2 linked regions of the Arabidopsis thaliana genome follow. The protein of the gene in region 2 interacts with the protein of the main gene of each other region in a pairwise test. Each region holds a gene or a part of one and is shown on either strand. Other genes may lie near its edges.

What was found.
Region 1: the proteins of JAZ6 (region 2) and NINJA interact in binary tests that used the Arabidopsis thaliana proteins (3 or more experiments, as listed by UniProt).

What each region holds. Positions count from the first base shown.
Region 1 is NC_003075.7:14,262,389-14,268,324, forward strand, and holds NINJA (Putative interactor of JAZ), read right to left. Parts: upstream 4,399-5,936; 5' UTR 4,148-4,398; intron 3,757-4,147; exon of another isoform or gene 3,718-3,756; 5' UTR 3,635-3,717; intron 3,370-3,634; 5' UTR 3,293-3,369; coding exon 2,401-3,292; intron 2,328-2,400; coding exon 1,942-2,327; 3' UTR 1,646-1,941; downstream 1-1,645. UniProt on the Arabidopsis thaliana protein: Acts as a transcriptional repressor. Negative regulator of jasmonate responses. Connects the JAZ proteins and the non-JAZ protein TIFY8 with the TOPLESS corepressors.
Region 2 is NC_003070.9:27,272,428-27,279,689, forward strand, and holds JAZ6 (jasmonate-zim-domain protein 6), read right to left. Parts: upstream 4,136-7,262; 5' UTR 3,710-4,135; coding exon 3,556-3,709; intron 3,241-3,555; coding exon 3,117-3,240; intron 2,965-3,116; coding exon 2,638-2,964; coding exon of another isoform or gene 2,634-2,637; exon of another isoform or gene 2,114-2,633; coding exon 1,909-2,113; 3' UTR 1,541-1,908; downstream 1-1,540. Other genes in the region: EDA25 (CCAAT-binding factor), read right to left, coding at 75-194, 290-362, 452-1,169; AT1G72460 (Leucine-rich repeat protein kinase family protein), read left to right, coding at 7,083-7,262. UniProt on the Arabidopsis thaliana protein: Repressor of jasmonate responses.

The sequences.
Region 1 (5,936 bases), on a different chromosome or scaffold from region 2:
GACAAGTTCAGTACTTTTCTCTTGGAGTTTGGTTTCATCTGTACCTATTCAGATCCTTCTCTGTTTGTGTTTCTGAAAGGAAGAGATCTCATGTTCCTCTTGCTCTATATGGACGACATGCTTCTCACAGGCAACAATAGTGAACTGTTGGACACACTGCTTGTCTCTCTGAATAAAGAGTCCGCATGAAAGACATGGGAATGCTGCATTACTTTCTCGGAATTCAGGCTCATTTTCACTGAGAAGGGTTGTTCTTGCATCAAGAGAAATATGCTATGGATCTCCTTGTTGCAGCAGGAATGGCAGATTGTGCCCCAATGCCAACCCCTTTGCCTCTTCAATTGGATAAAGTTCCTGGTCAACAAGAAAGCTTTGCTGATCCTACTTATTTTCGGAGCTTGGCTGGTAAGTTACAATATCTTACTCTTACTCGTCCTGACATTCAATTTGCAGTCAATCTTGTGTGTCAAAAGATGCATTCCCCCACAGTTGCTGATTTCAATCTCCTCAAAAGAGTCTTACGCTATCTCAAAGGAAAAGTTCAAATGGGTCTCAACTTACACAACAACACGGATATCACTTTGCGTGCTTATAGTGATAGTGACTGGGCAAACTGCAAAGAGACTAGAAGATCTGTTGGTGGTTTCTGCACTTTTCTTGGCACTAACATAATCAGTTGGTCTGCAAAACGTCATCCAACAGTCTCAAGGTCCTCAACAGAAGCTGAGTATAGGACCCTCTCTATCGCAGCTACAGAAGTGAAGTGGATCTCATCTTTGCTTCGTGAAATAGGCATCTATCAACCTGCACCACCGGAGTTGTACTGTGACAACCTCTCTGCTGTCTACCTCACTGCAAATCCAGCAATGCACAACCGGTCTAAGGCCTTTGATGTTGATTTTCACTATGTTCGAGAACGTGTTGCCTTGGGAGCTTTGGTTGTCAAACATGTCCCTGCTTCTCATCAACTTGCAGACATCTTCACCAAGTCTCTTCCCCAACGTCCATTCTTTGACTTAAGGTACAAACTTGGCGTTGTTTTACCTCCCACACCAAGTTTGAGGGGGTGTGTGAATCAGAGAGAACCTCCTCTACAATCAGAAGCTTTGCTTTCTGCGAATGGACCTGCAACACTCAACAATACTTTGGGCCTCAGTCAAAGTGTCAAGCCCATCAACCTCAAGTCTTCTCTACCTTGCAACGGTAACAAGATTCCTCAATTTCCAGCGCATCAACGTACGGGATTCACAGCTAATCATTTGTCCCTTCATAACAAATTTGATCCTCTTTGTTCCTCTGTCGTGATGTGCAGCTAATGACGTGTGACCTAGTGTCTCACCATTTTGGGGTTCATATATAAACCCTTCTCTGTCATTGTAAACCTTAAGCTGAAATATTCAATAAAGAGATTTCTCTTCATCATCGTTTTATCAATACTTTCACTATTTTAGTCTTTCAATTACTTCTTTGTTATAGAATTTAACCACAACATTATCAATTTATTAACTATTAAGTAAGAGTTTGACATTATTCTTGCAGGTTTTCTGTACAACCAACCGTATCAATGGTATCAGGTTTTGACATGACATTACATAATTGAAGGTTTTGCTGTCGTTACATAGTAGTCAAAATCAAAGTGAATTATTTTACCAAAATAGTTGTTTAGATTTTAACCAAAGGAACAAAGGACACCGATAATGTTATGGTTATATATAATTTCCTTTCAACCAAAAAACAAAAAGGAAAGAAGAGGATTACATAAGGAATTGTGATGAAGTAGAGAGATTACAACAACATAACAGAAAGCTCAGTTAAAAAACTTTGGCTTGAGAGTTTGATCCGACTAAACATAATAAAATGTATGTTCCAAAAAGAAACTCATTACAAACCCTTCCATTTGTTTACAAGATTTCAGACATCTTTTTTTCCGGTGGTGACTTTTCAGGTGTGAGCTGACGCTGCAGTCATTCCCATGGATGATTCTGGGCTAACGTACTCCTCGCTTGCGTGCCGTACAAACTCCTCCGGTGACATGTGCGAGCCGTGGCAAGCGCATACGATTTTGATCTGGTTTGCGTTGTACCGGTATGTGACACCTGAGATTGTCCGTCCGTGTGGGCCTGAACCAGTGGTTGAGACCCACGGTAAGTTGGGACGTGCCCCGGATCCTCCAAACTTCACATCTGCTGCCATTCCAGGTTTTATGGCAGAAAAGTCGAAAGAGAAAGCGGTATTGAGGTTGCTGTTGTCTCCCGTTGGTCGTTCTGATGCATCCTCGGATGAACCTTCTTCTGCAACAGGTTGTTTGCCTTCGCCTTTTGCAGTAGCTTTTTGGAAGGAAAAGTTACTATTTTTGCTGTAAGAGTACTAAATCGTGTTTTAAGGGAAGGTTTTGCTTACCTGAGTTTGATGGAACTCTTCCAGCAAATGGAGATTGAGAAAGTGCGACAATCCCTCCTGAACCGTCCTTATCTAGCATAGGGAGCTGGACTGGTGAGTATCCGAACATAATCGGGAGATTTCCAGCATTAGCATTAGGCTGCAATAGACTTGTAGCTGCTGCGTGTTGTCCAGACTCTTTTGTCGGTAAAGAGTAAGGCATACTAGTGACGACATTTTGCGGATGAACTGTGAAAGGTACGGTGTAACTCATGTTGCGCATTGTAAACTCTTCAGTGCCAGATCCACCATGGTTGCTCCTCCTTTGACCAGTTAAGTTGTCCACAATGTTTGTATCAGTAGGAGGACGAACCACCTCCTTTGCGTGGTTGGAAGAAGAACCACCACCTACTTCAGACTCTGCTACATCTTCGTTTTCAGCTGTTGATCCTTCATCTGTCGCAGTTGAAACATGGGATGCTTTTGTCTTCTTCTCATGCATATCAACATGAGACGAGTCCTTCTCTTTTTTCTTATCATCATTCATCCCCGGGAACCCGAACTTTCTTTTGTTCCCTGCTTCTTTCCGTGACTCATCCTCCACCCACAAAGGTTTCGTAGAAGCTTCAGCCTCAGTTGTAGGAGCTTTTGAGAGGTCATTGAAGAAATTTTGTGGAGGCTGTTGACCCGAATCACTTCTCTGAGAACCAGAACTCGGCTCTGCAGGTCTTTGAGAAGTTGGATGCAGGAAGTTCTTAAAGTCATCAATCACTTTAGCACTTCTATCGCCTCCTTCTGCCCTGTAGTTCTCTGAGGAGCTTCCAGCATTATTATTATTGTTACCCTTAGCTTTTCCTGTTGATCCTCCACAAGAAAGACCCAAGCTGAGCTCGAGCCCATTATCATCGTCCATTTTTTCTCAAACTTTTTAAGCAAACTCTGAGCAGGTCAACAGATCTTCAGAGCACCGTCAACAATCTTGATTACCATCTGAGAAAAATACATCATGGGCAGAAAAGGACTCATTATCCAAAGCTAACCAATGGTTTCTAGAAAAAAGAATCAAACGCAAAGCTAAGAACTTTGAGAATCATAGATGGCTGCGGAAGTAAACTTCTTCTAAATTTATAAAAAGAAACACATCTGCTTGAACTTGCAACAAACATCACATGCTTTGCCAAAATCAATCCTAGTATTCAGTATAACAAATTAACAAGCTACCAGAACTCTCAGAAACATTGGACTCGGATAGTACCTTAGAAACAAAACCATTGAAAGAAACAATTCAGCAATTCTCCAGAAACTTTCTTCTCGCTCCTACCAAGTACCTTTTGAGTTCTGTGATAACAAAAAAAGACCATTTCTACAACTTAGGTTCTGAAAACCCCCAATATTCATCATTTCCATTTTGAGAAACTAAACTAAAATGGAAACAAAGCAAAGACACACATCACTCACACTTGTATGTCAGCTAACAAAAAAAAAAAAGGAATCAAAATCCAGAAATCAGAGTGAGAGATAGCACAAAGATCTAGTAACTGATAAGACACTATGCAGATCTGTCAGCTAAACGAGCTACATACGAAGAAACAAATCAATTGACTTTCTAAAGATCGAAATCATCAAAAGAATCATAACCTAGACGCGATCAGATTAAAACCCTGACCCCTAACTACACAGCAATAATGCCAAATCAGCTCAAATTAAATCACAATAAGCCGAATAAAGCTAAAACAGAAGCCGAAATCAGAATCGAGAAGATGAAAACCTGATGAAACCGAGGAAGAAGACGAACAAACCCTAGAGCTTCTTCGCAGCGTGGCGGCTCCTAGACAGTTGCATCAGCGATTGGGGCTTCTTCGGGTTCGGACAACTAGTACGGACCATTTCCCTTTTCCCTTCGTAATACTAATAATTATTATTTTATTGTACAATTAGTTTCGATTTCGTCCATGTGTATCTTGTGCATTTTCTTAACTTTTGAATAAATAACAATCGTATAGTCAGCATATATACTACATGTTTGCAATCATGAATATATTTGTACATTGTACATGTCCAATGCATGAATAGAAATACATGGGCCCAATTTTCTTTTTAAAGCCAAACTAGTCCATAACTATTCACATCTACCAACAGATTTTTCATTTCTTTAACAAGTTTTAGAGGAAACACATATGACATATCTTATGCGTTTTTATAAAGATATACTAAAAAGTTGGTCACATAGTATATAATCTATATTTTCTAGTCACCACTTTCTTTAGAATAGTTGGATAAGAGAGACAACATTACAAGATATGCTAAAACGATTTAATTACTCCATATGTGTGTAAATCGTCACTTAATTTAATACTTCAAAATTTCCTTCGAAAAAGACATAGCTAAAGATATGTGGGGATAATATATATATATATATATATAATAGTATCAAAAGCTGTTTGCCAAAAAAAAAAATTCAAAACGATAGGTTTATATATATATATATTTTAGATTGATTCATGATCAATAAAGTCGCTTTGGCCGAGTGGTTAAGGCGTGTGCCTGCTAAGTACATGGGGTTTCCCCGCGAGAGTTCGAATCTCTCAGGCGACGTTATCATTTTATTTTTGATATTTCCAGCTTTTTTTTCTTTGTCAGGCTTTTCCAGTTTTTTTTCCTCCTAAATTGACATGGTTTTATTTTTTTTGTACAAAAAATTGACATGTTTTTTTTTTAATACAAAAATTGACATGTTAAGACTTAAGACTAAAGAGGAAATTGGAAATTGGAAATTTGAATATTATAAAATAAAATTATCTTATGTTGTAAAATTTTAATGGCATGAAAATATGTTACTTATGTAAAAATAAAATAATGAAAACAAACATGGTTAATAATATTGAAAAGCTACAACATGAATAAATATATACTTTGATTGACTCATAAGCAATAAAGTTACATGGTTTTTTTTTTATTATTTCTGATGCTATTATTCATAGTTTTATAAGTTTGAAAAATAAATTAAAAAGGATCATTAACAATTCAAAGGATAAATAGACTTGTTTCTCTCTTTTTAATCGTCATATTAAATACCATAAGATGTCGAATTTTTCAACCTAATGTCTACGTTGATGATGTTGTGGCTATCCACCGTGAGACGGTGAAGAAGACCCCTCACCGTCTCCCACATACAAAATCGCCGCCGCCTATCACATTGTTTCAAAGAAACTCCTCCTCACCGACTTGCTCTCAATAGAAGTGAACTCCCATCTCCCAACCCTAGTCCCAGGAGCCTCCATCATCGTTACCAACAATTCACGATAATACAACTCTAAATATTATTCTCTCAGCTTCAACTTCTCATGAAAATCATATATGTTTTGTTACTCTTCAAAAATCCAAGGAATAAAATGATAGAAAAAAATATATTCTTAGAGCTCTTGGTGATTTCATACTTGTCTTGATTGATATCACAATATTCAGAACAAGTAATCACAAGTAGAAGACAAGCTTTAAAAAGAGGAAGAAGAAGAGACTTGTAGTTATTGCATTGAGAACAAGTAATCACAGATTCA
Region 2 (7,262 bases):
TACGGATAGAAGACACAGATCTTTGACATAGTGTGATTAAACACATCCCTCATGGCATGATTTGAGATCTTTACCTCTGTTTCAAGCAATCCTCCCAGTACCAAAACAGCAAAAGCGAGTAACCATCCTTATTTTCCGGAATGATGTTTAAAGGTCGCTGTAAAAGTGACTTCAGCTTGCGATCAGGTAATAACCTGAAGAAAGAATTTAAAAAACCTCAGTCAATGAGAAAAAGATGCAAGACTGACACATAAATCCATAGCTCATTGTGTGAGTAAGAAAAATGTGCCTGATCAAAATTTCTGATAGAGCCTTAAGACCCTTAAATGCAAATCTTTTTCCAACCTTTGAGGTCACCATTCCTGCAATGAACAGAGTAGATAATGTGAACAAGACATCAACAAAATGCTACAGAGGATTTCACCATTGAAAAACAAAACCAGAAACATACCCAATAAGGCATCAAGAGATCTCATATTTGCAATGGGATTCTCTCCAACCATAATCTCAAAGGCAGTGATTTTATCAGCAACTGTCCCAGACTTTTGAGCAGAAATCACCATCTTCATATCTCCACCTTTTCCTTTCGAAGTTGCAAAGTCCTCTGCGTATTGCCACATCAATCTCTCTCCTAATTCTCTCTTCTTCTCCACCACACCCTTAAAATCCTCCTTATTCGCCACCGCCACTTTCCGGCCACCAAACACCTTCTCCTCAAACTCAGCTGCATCGTTGTACCATTCAGAGCTCAATAAACTCGCTTTCACCAATGGTAACTTAGGCAAACTCTTGAATTCATCGAAACGTTTTTTCTTGTACCCAGTACTCTCATCATCAATCGATAAGAATCCAGGCTTTGGCTTCGGTTGTAACGTTTGCTTCACCGGTGCATCTTTGTTTTGCTTCCTCGCTCCAAAATCTTTTCCCTTTTCATTCCCAATGTTCGATTTTGGCTCTCCTTCTTCATCTTCATCCTTGTGTTGCTGATCCTTCTTAGGCTTTTTCCGTTTCTGGGTTTTGGATTTAGCTGGTTTTCGGAAATCAGTGTCGTTGAAACCCGAAGAAGGAAGAGCAGAAGCTAAGCCAATAGAAGAAGCGAATGATGCGATATCAGATGTGAGAAGACTCAAGTCCTGCGATGATTTACTCAAAGGCTTTATCTTTGACATTTTTTCTCAAAGCATATGAAGAGGGTTAAGAGAGTTTTGTGAGAGATGACTGTTTTTAAAAGAACTGAGACAGTTAGGTTTAAGCAATCTCTGTGCTTTGAGATCGAACAATGAAAAAGAAAGATAAACTTCAATGTTTGGGGTTCAACAGAAATTTTTAGGGTTTTAGAAAACGGCAAGAGAGAAGCAGACAGAGGAAATGGTAGAAGGCTAATTTCGTAATTACGGGATAAGACAAGGGCAAAACAGACTTAACGACCTAAAATCAATGAGACGATGTTTTTTCATTAAGGTTGGGTTCCTGAGACGGTCCAGCCCAATCGCTAGAACATTCAATGCAAATCCATAACTGGTGAGATTTCGATCATGTGGTAAAATATTATACTAATATCTTTGATAGAAACATTATATGTATATCTTTGAAACCTATTATAGGTTAATATACTTTTGCCACTTAGAAAAATTACTAACAACGCAAATCCATCACTGGTGAGATTATATCAGGTGATTAAAAAATTTCGATAAAGGGTAATCCAGATGACAATTTTAATTAAAGAATCTAAAAAACAAGTATCAAAATATGTATGTTTTGAAATATAAATACTAGCTACGTAATACAGTACTATAAATAACTTAAATTGGTCAAAAGTAATGGAAGAAAATATAAAAGGGTATTTGGGTTCAAATCCTAAATAAGTGAAAACTAGAAACGTGAACTCGATCGTGCATTTTATACGCCCTAAAGCTTGAGTTCAAGGTTTTTGGAAGATTGTCCTTCTTTCTTGTCCACCTCCATCGGCATATGGTTATGGGCCTTTGGTTTTGGAGGAGTTGCAATGTGTTGCGACGATTGGCCTGACTTTATCGATGGAGCAACCATCTCTGGCTTGGGAGGAAGATGACTACCGTGTTGGTTCACTTGATATGGAGCTCTAGCCACAGCCCTGAAATCAAAACAATTAATCAACATTTAAGACAAAGTAGATATTGAAGTTTTGATTTACAAAGAACTCTTAGTTAGTGTTTTTTAACTAGAAATTTCTCGACATTTTACTAATAATTTTCCTAGATCAAGGACACATAGATGATGGACTCATATCTCTTATATACTACTCTAGGTCCCATCTCGAATTTCATTGTAACTTGTAAGATTTTTTACATGTTCTTTATAAATGATGACACTTGAGTCACATCTCGAAATCTTACTCTAGGAATCATAATTCATAAACATACTAGGACCACCCTATGTTCAATTTCATGAATGTTCAACTTAAACTTGATTGGTAATACGCTTCTAATCCGATGTGGGATTCCTAGAATAACTCGAATAAGTCTTAATATGGTAATTATTAGCTATTTTTACATATAACTTTTTTAAGAAACTTTGATCCTAATCTATGCATACATTTTGACGAGCGGCCTAGAAAAAGCATAACCAAGCACAAAACAGTTTCGGAGTTTAGTTTACCTGTCTTTTCGTTTAGCAAAGAATCGATGAAGAGAAGCTCTTCTTGCAATGCGTTCCACAACCTGATGTTGCTGCCCAGTTTCTTGATCTTCATTGTTCCCGGAACTCGTTGGCTCGTTAAGATCGGGAATCACCACGTTGCTTTTGTCAAGATTCATGTGACTCTGACTGTTCTTAGAATCAACAGCAACATGATTCGCTTCTTTAGCTACTTCCATTATCTCCTTAGCTTTGTCTTCAGGAAACTCGTTGAAAACCATAACTTTTCCTCCAAAGAATATGGTCAACTGTGAATTTCCAGACTCCGGTGCTACTTTTGCCGGTTCACTAAAATCAAATCAAACCCATTTTTACAATTAGTCAAACTCCATAGTCCATACATCTATAACCGGTAGTTCTTTCTCTAATTCAATTGCTACAAAATGTGAAAACAAACACTTTAGGAGTTCGAATACATATGAAGTTTGTGTGTACAGTACCTGAGATCAATATATATGGCTTTGTCTTCGGTAGAAGTAGAGGCCTCACCAATAGAAAACTTCTGAATCAACTTGAACGGTCTAGTTTCTGAGGTCTCTACCTTCTTAATCACATTTTGTTGTCCTAAAACAAATTAGAACAGAAATTGCAAACCGATTAAAATTTATCAAAATCAAATTACATGTTTATTACGTTTTTTAAAAAACTTCACAGAATCTCTAACTTTAATATACTTAAGCTGTCCAAAATAATACCATGCTTAAGTTTAAAGAAAAGAAAAGAAAAAAATGATTTAAAATTTTGCATTTCAACAAAAAAAATATATAGTTAAACTTTATGCTAATAATCAACGAAGCAGGATACTAAAAGTATATGATATAAACTTTGGTCTTTATAGGCGGCGGCCGTCGGAATAGATAGGGAAAAATAAATAAATACCTTTGAGATCGAATTTTCCGGCGAGTTCAAGATCGGATTTTCGAGCCAACCCCATATTAATATTCCCAAAACTTCCCTTCTCCTTCAAGTACCGGCTGAGCAGACTACATCTCTGAGAAAAATTGGACTTCTCCGGCGCTTGTCCCGTTGACATACTAGTGTGATGAAGATTACAACAACCCAAGATTTTCTTGTGTGACTTCTTTACACGTACAAAAAATCGAGGATTCCAAAGAGTATGTAGATGTTTTGAGCTTTTTGCTCATGTGTTGTTGTTATAAATAACCAATTCTAGCCAATAAGTTTCTGTGGCTTTTAACCTCTCCCGAATAAATAAAGAAAACGAAATAACGTGTTCTTTTTTTTTATTTAGTCTGAAGTGACAGTGATGTGTGTCCAATATAGAATGTTTTTGTCACGAGTTTTGTAACTTTTTTTTTTACACCTAACTGATCGATAGACATTTTTTTTTTTTTTTTGAACACAAAACTGATCAATAGACTAAACACACATTTTTCTTATGATGGTTCAAGAAGAAGAAATTCTTTTTATGGTCAAACATATTATAGGCTATTAATTTCCTATATCCTCAAATGTTTTGTCACGAATAGAAATAGGGAAATAAATTATATGCGGAAAAAATGATTTATTCCTATGGTTGATTACAAAAATCAAACTACAATGTTCGTTACAAGTTCCGGCACGTTTTCATTGCACAAGCCGTGAAGAAACTGTTGTAAGTTGACGGCGACATTACATAAAGGCGTTAACCCATTTAATTCATTCGGGTCCCAAGAGTTTCTGTTAAATACTAATTTACCCTTCTGAGGTAATTCGTTTAGTGGTGGTTAGGATATTCGTTATTAAAGGGCGTAAATGAGGGCATTTGCAAACGCTATAGTCTAACGGAGTTCTGACGGAGTTAAGTCTCGCGTCGGCTGCGATGGCTAATACGAATTTAATATGTGGGATCCATTAGCAACAGTACGACTTGTGAGTGGATATTTATCGATGAATGGTGTCAATTACTTATCCCCGACAAAGTTTAAGGACACGTGAAGTATTGTTATGTGCGTTTAGGATGTCAACACGTGTCGGAATCTTGGCGGTACCAACCTTATTTCATGCATGATTTGCGTTTTTTTTCCCTCTTTGCTAAAGGATATTATAGCGTTCATACTTCATAGGCCTAATTTTCTTTTCTGTTTTTAATTACAAAAACTGAGTGTAATTAATATTAGAATTTGTGGTTTTGTATGTTGGTAAAAGGTTAACGATTTCTGTTTAGTCCTAATATGAATTTTGTTACTTGCTCAGTTAAATATTATTTCTATAACAATAATAATAATAAAATCTTTTAATCGTTTTGTTCAATGAAGTCGAGCGTTGAATTTTATTTGAATAAGAGGCAATGCCAAAGAGTACCAAAAAAGAATTTAAAACAAAATGTCGTAGACGATCGCGCCAAGGGAAAAAATCATTTTTATTGAATTATTTATCGCAACTTGCAAAATGAGAACATAATACTTTGAACTTTGAAGACTCTTCAATATCATATGATTTCAAGAGTTGAACAACAACTTGAGTCTAATATATACACATGTATGTGTGTATTTAATTACACAATATAGATCCATTGTCATTTTCTAATACATACAAAAGACCAAATAATATTCGCTATTTCACATGAAGATTATCTACATTGTTGGAAGCGCAAGTTGGGTTTCGATCACATATTTGATCATGTCCAAAATAAGGGAATGTCATATTCTAACAGATTTGATATGCAAAAATCAAGATTGTGAGAAGATTCTACTAAGACTACCAAACCAACGTTAACGGCAAAAAAGAAAAGGCAACGGCGAAACCTTCCGGTCACCACTCGAAGTTGGACTCTCCTTTAAGCAATAGAGTATATCAACATTTATCAAATAAATAGTTGTTGTTTTGAGACCTAAGTTCATATATGGACATAATCAAGATGGTGTCAACAGTTTTGGGTTAGGTGTGCTTCAGACTTAATCTTTGAGCTGGGTAAGATTTCCTTTCTATCTAGTGTTACGAGCTAGCGTGTCTCTGTAACAGGTTGTCTTCGGGTAAGTTTGGTCTTGCAGCTTGAGCTTGTGGTGGGAATTCTCTGTACAGTCGTTATCTTCATAAATAAAATGGTACTTATCAGAAAATAAAATAAAATTAGAAGACAATATTGAAAGATTATACAACTCATTTGCATTGACGTATGACAATACTAAACATAAAATTTGTTTAAAATTTAGGGGTAACGACTACGAATGTAGGTCCGTTTTACAACAATGACTAAAACAAATTGGTTCTTTGACACCGACAGATACTTTGGATGTGAACACCAAAATGTTGCAGCTTCTTCACATGCTCCTCTTGTACTATGACAATAACATATGTGCCTAAAGATTATCGCATATTAATAAGTATCCATTACATGCGGAACAGGAATAACATTTTTTCAACAATTGCATAATTGAAACCGGATAGAAATACAACAAGGACACTAAGTCAAATCATTAGAATACATGTCATGGTCTACAGAAAATTAATAGATTAGACAAATATTTTGTTTAGTTGCATATAATATCATGAGTAATTGAGTATTAGAGTATTTTACTCATGATACATAAGAAACTTATAACTATTCTTTCGATATTCTCATATTTGGAAATAGTTAGGAACTGTAAAAGCTAAAACTGATTGATGATTACATTTGGTGGCGTCAATTTGTTTTACATTTATCAAATTTCTTTCTTTTTTCGGCATAGGGATACATTTTTTGTCATGCTATAGTGAGTAAATTAGAAATCCGACATAACTAAGCATCAGGAGGAAAATCCAAATGATGAAGTGGTCCACTTAAAAGGTCACGTTAGCTAGAACTGAACCAAATGTTGTACGAGTTTTAAGATTATATGCTCTTGGTCCTAATGCCAAAACCATTTGTTTTTCCCATAAAATTTATTTACATGCGTTATCTTGTAGTATGGCAAAATTTGGAGTATCACTTAATAGTTTTCACACGTAACACGTAAAAAATATAGTTTTGATAGTTGGTTTTACAACACTTTTACTTGATAGTTGTTCTTACAACACTTATACTTGTAATTAAGTCACTTCTACGGTTTAAAAATTATTTATAGAAACGATAATCAACTTTGTCCAAGTTTGGGCTTGGAAACTAAAATCAACATTATTCATATGGGCCAACCAAAAATGCATATCTTTAGCTTATTTTTTATTCGCTCTTGCTTTTCTCAATCTTCTTGACTCTTTCAACGAACATTCGCGCCATAAGCTCCTAAGTTCCTCTCATCCAATGGATCACAAATGACAAAGAAAAACAAAAGACAGAGAAAACAGAGACAAAGCGAGAAACAAGACAAGGAATACAGAAAAATTAGTAAATCGAATCACCAAAAAAAAAAAAAAAACTACTTTGATTAATCAAAAAAAAAAAAGAGTTGCTTGAAACTCCCGGCGGCCTAGCTCCGGTTAAGTAAATGGCCGTGGCTTGGCTAATCTGGCCAATCGTGCTATCTCTAACAGCACTTTCTGCGAATTCGATAACCGAATCAGAATCTTTATTGAAATTCAAGAAGTCCTTAAACAACACCAAGTCTCTTGATTCTTGGACACCAGAGTCAGAACCTTGTGGAGCAAGCCAACGATGGATCGGATTA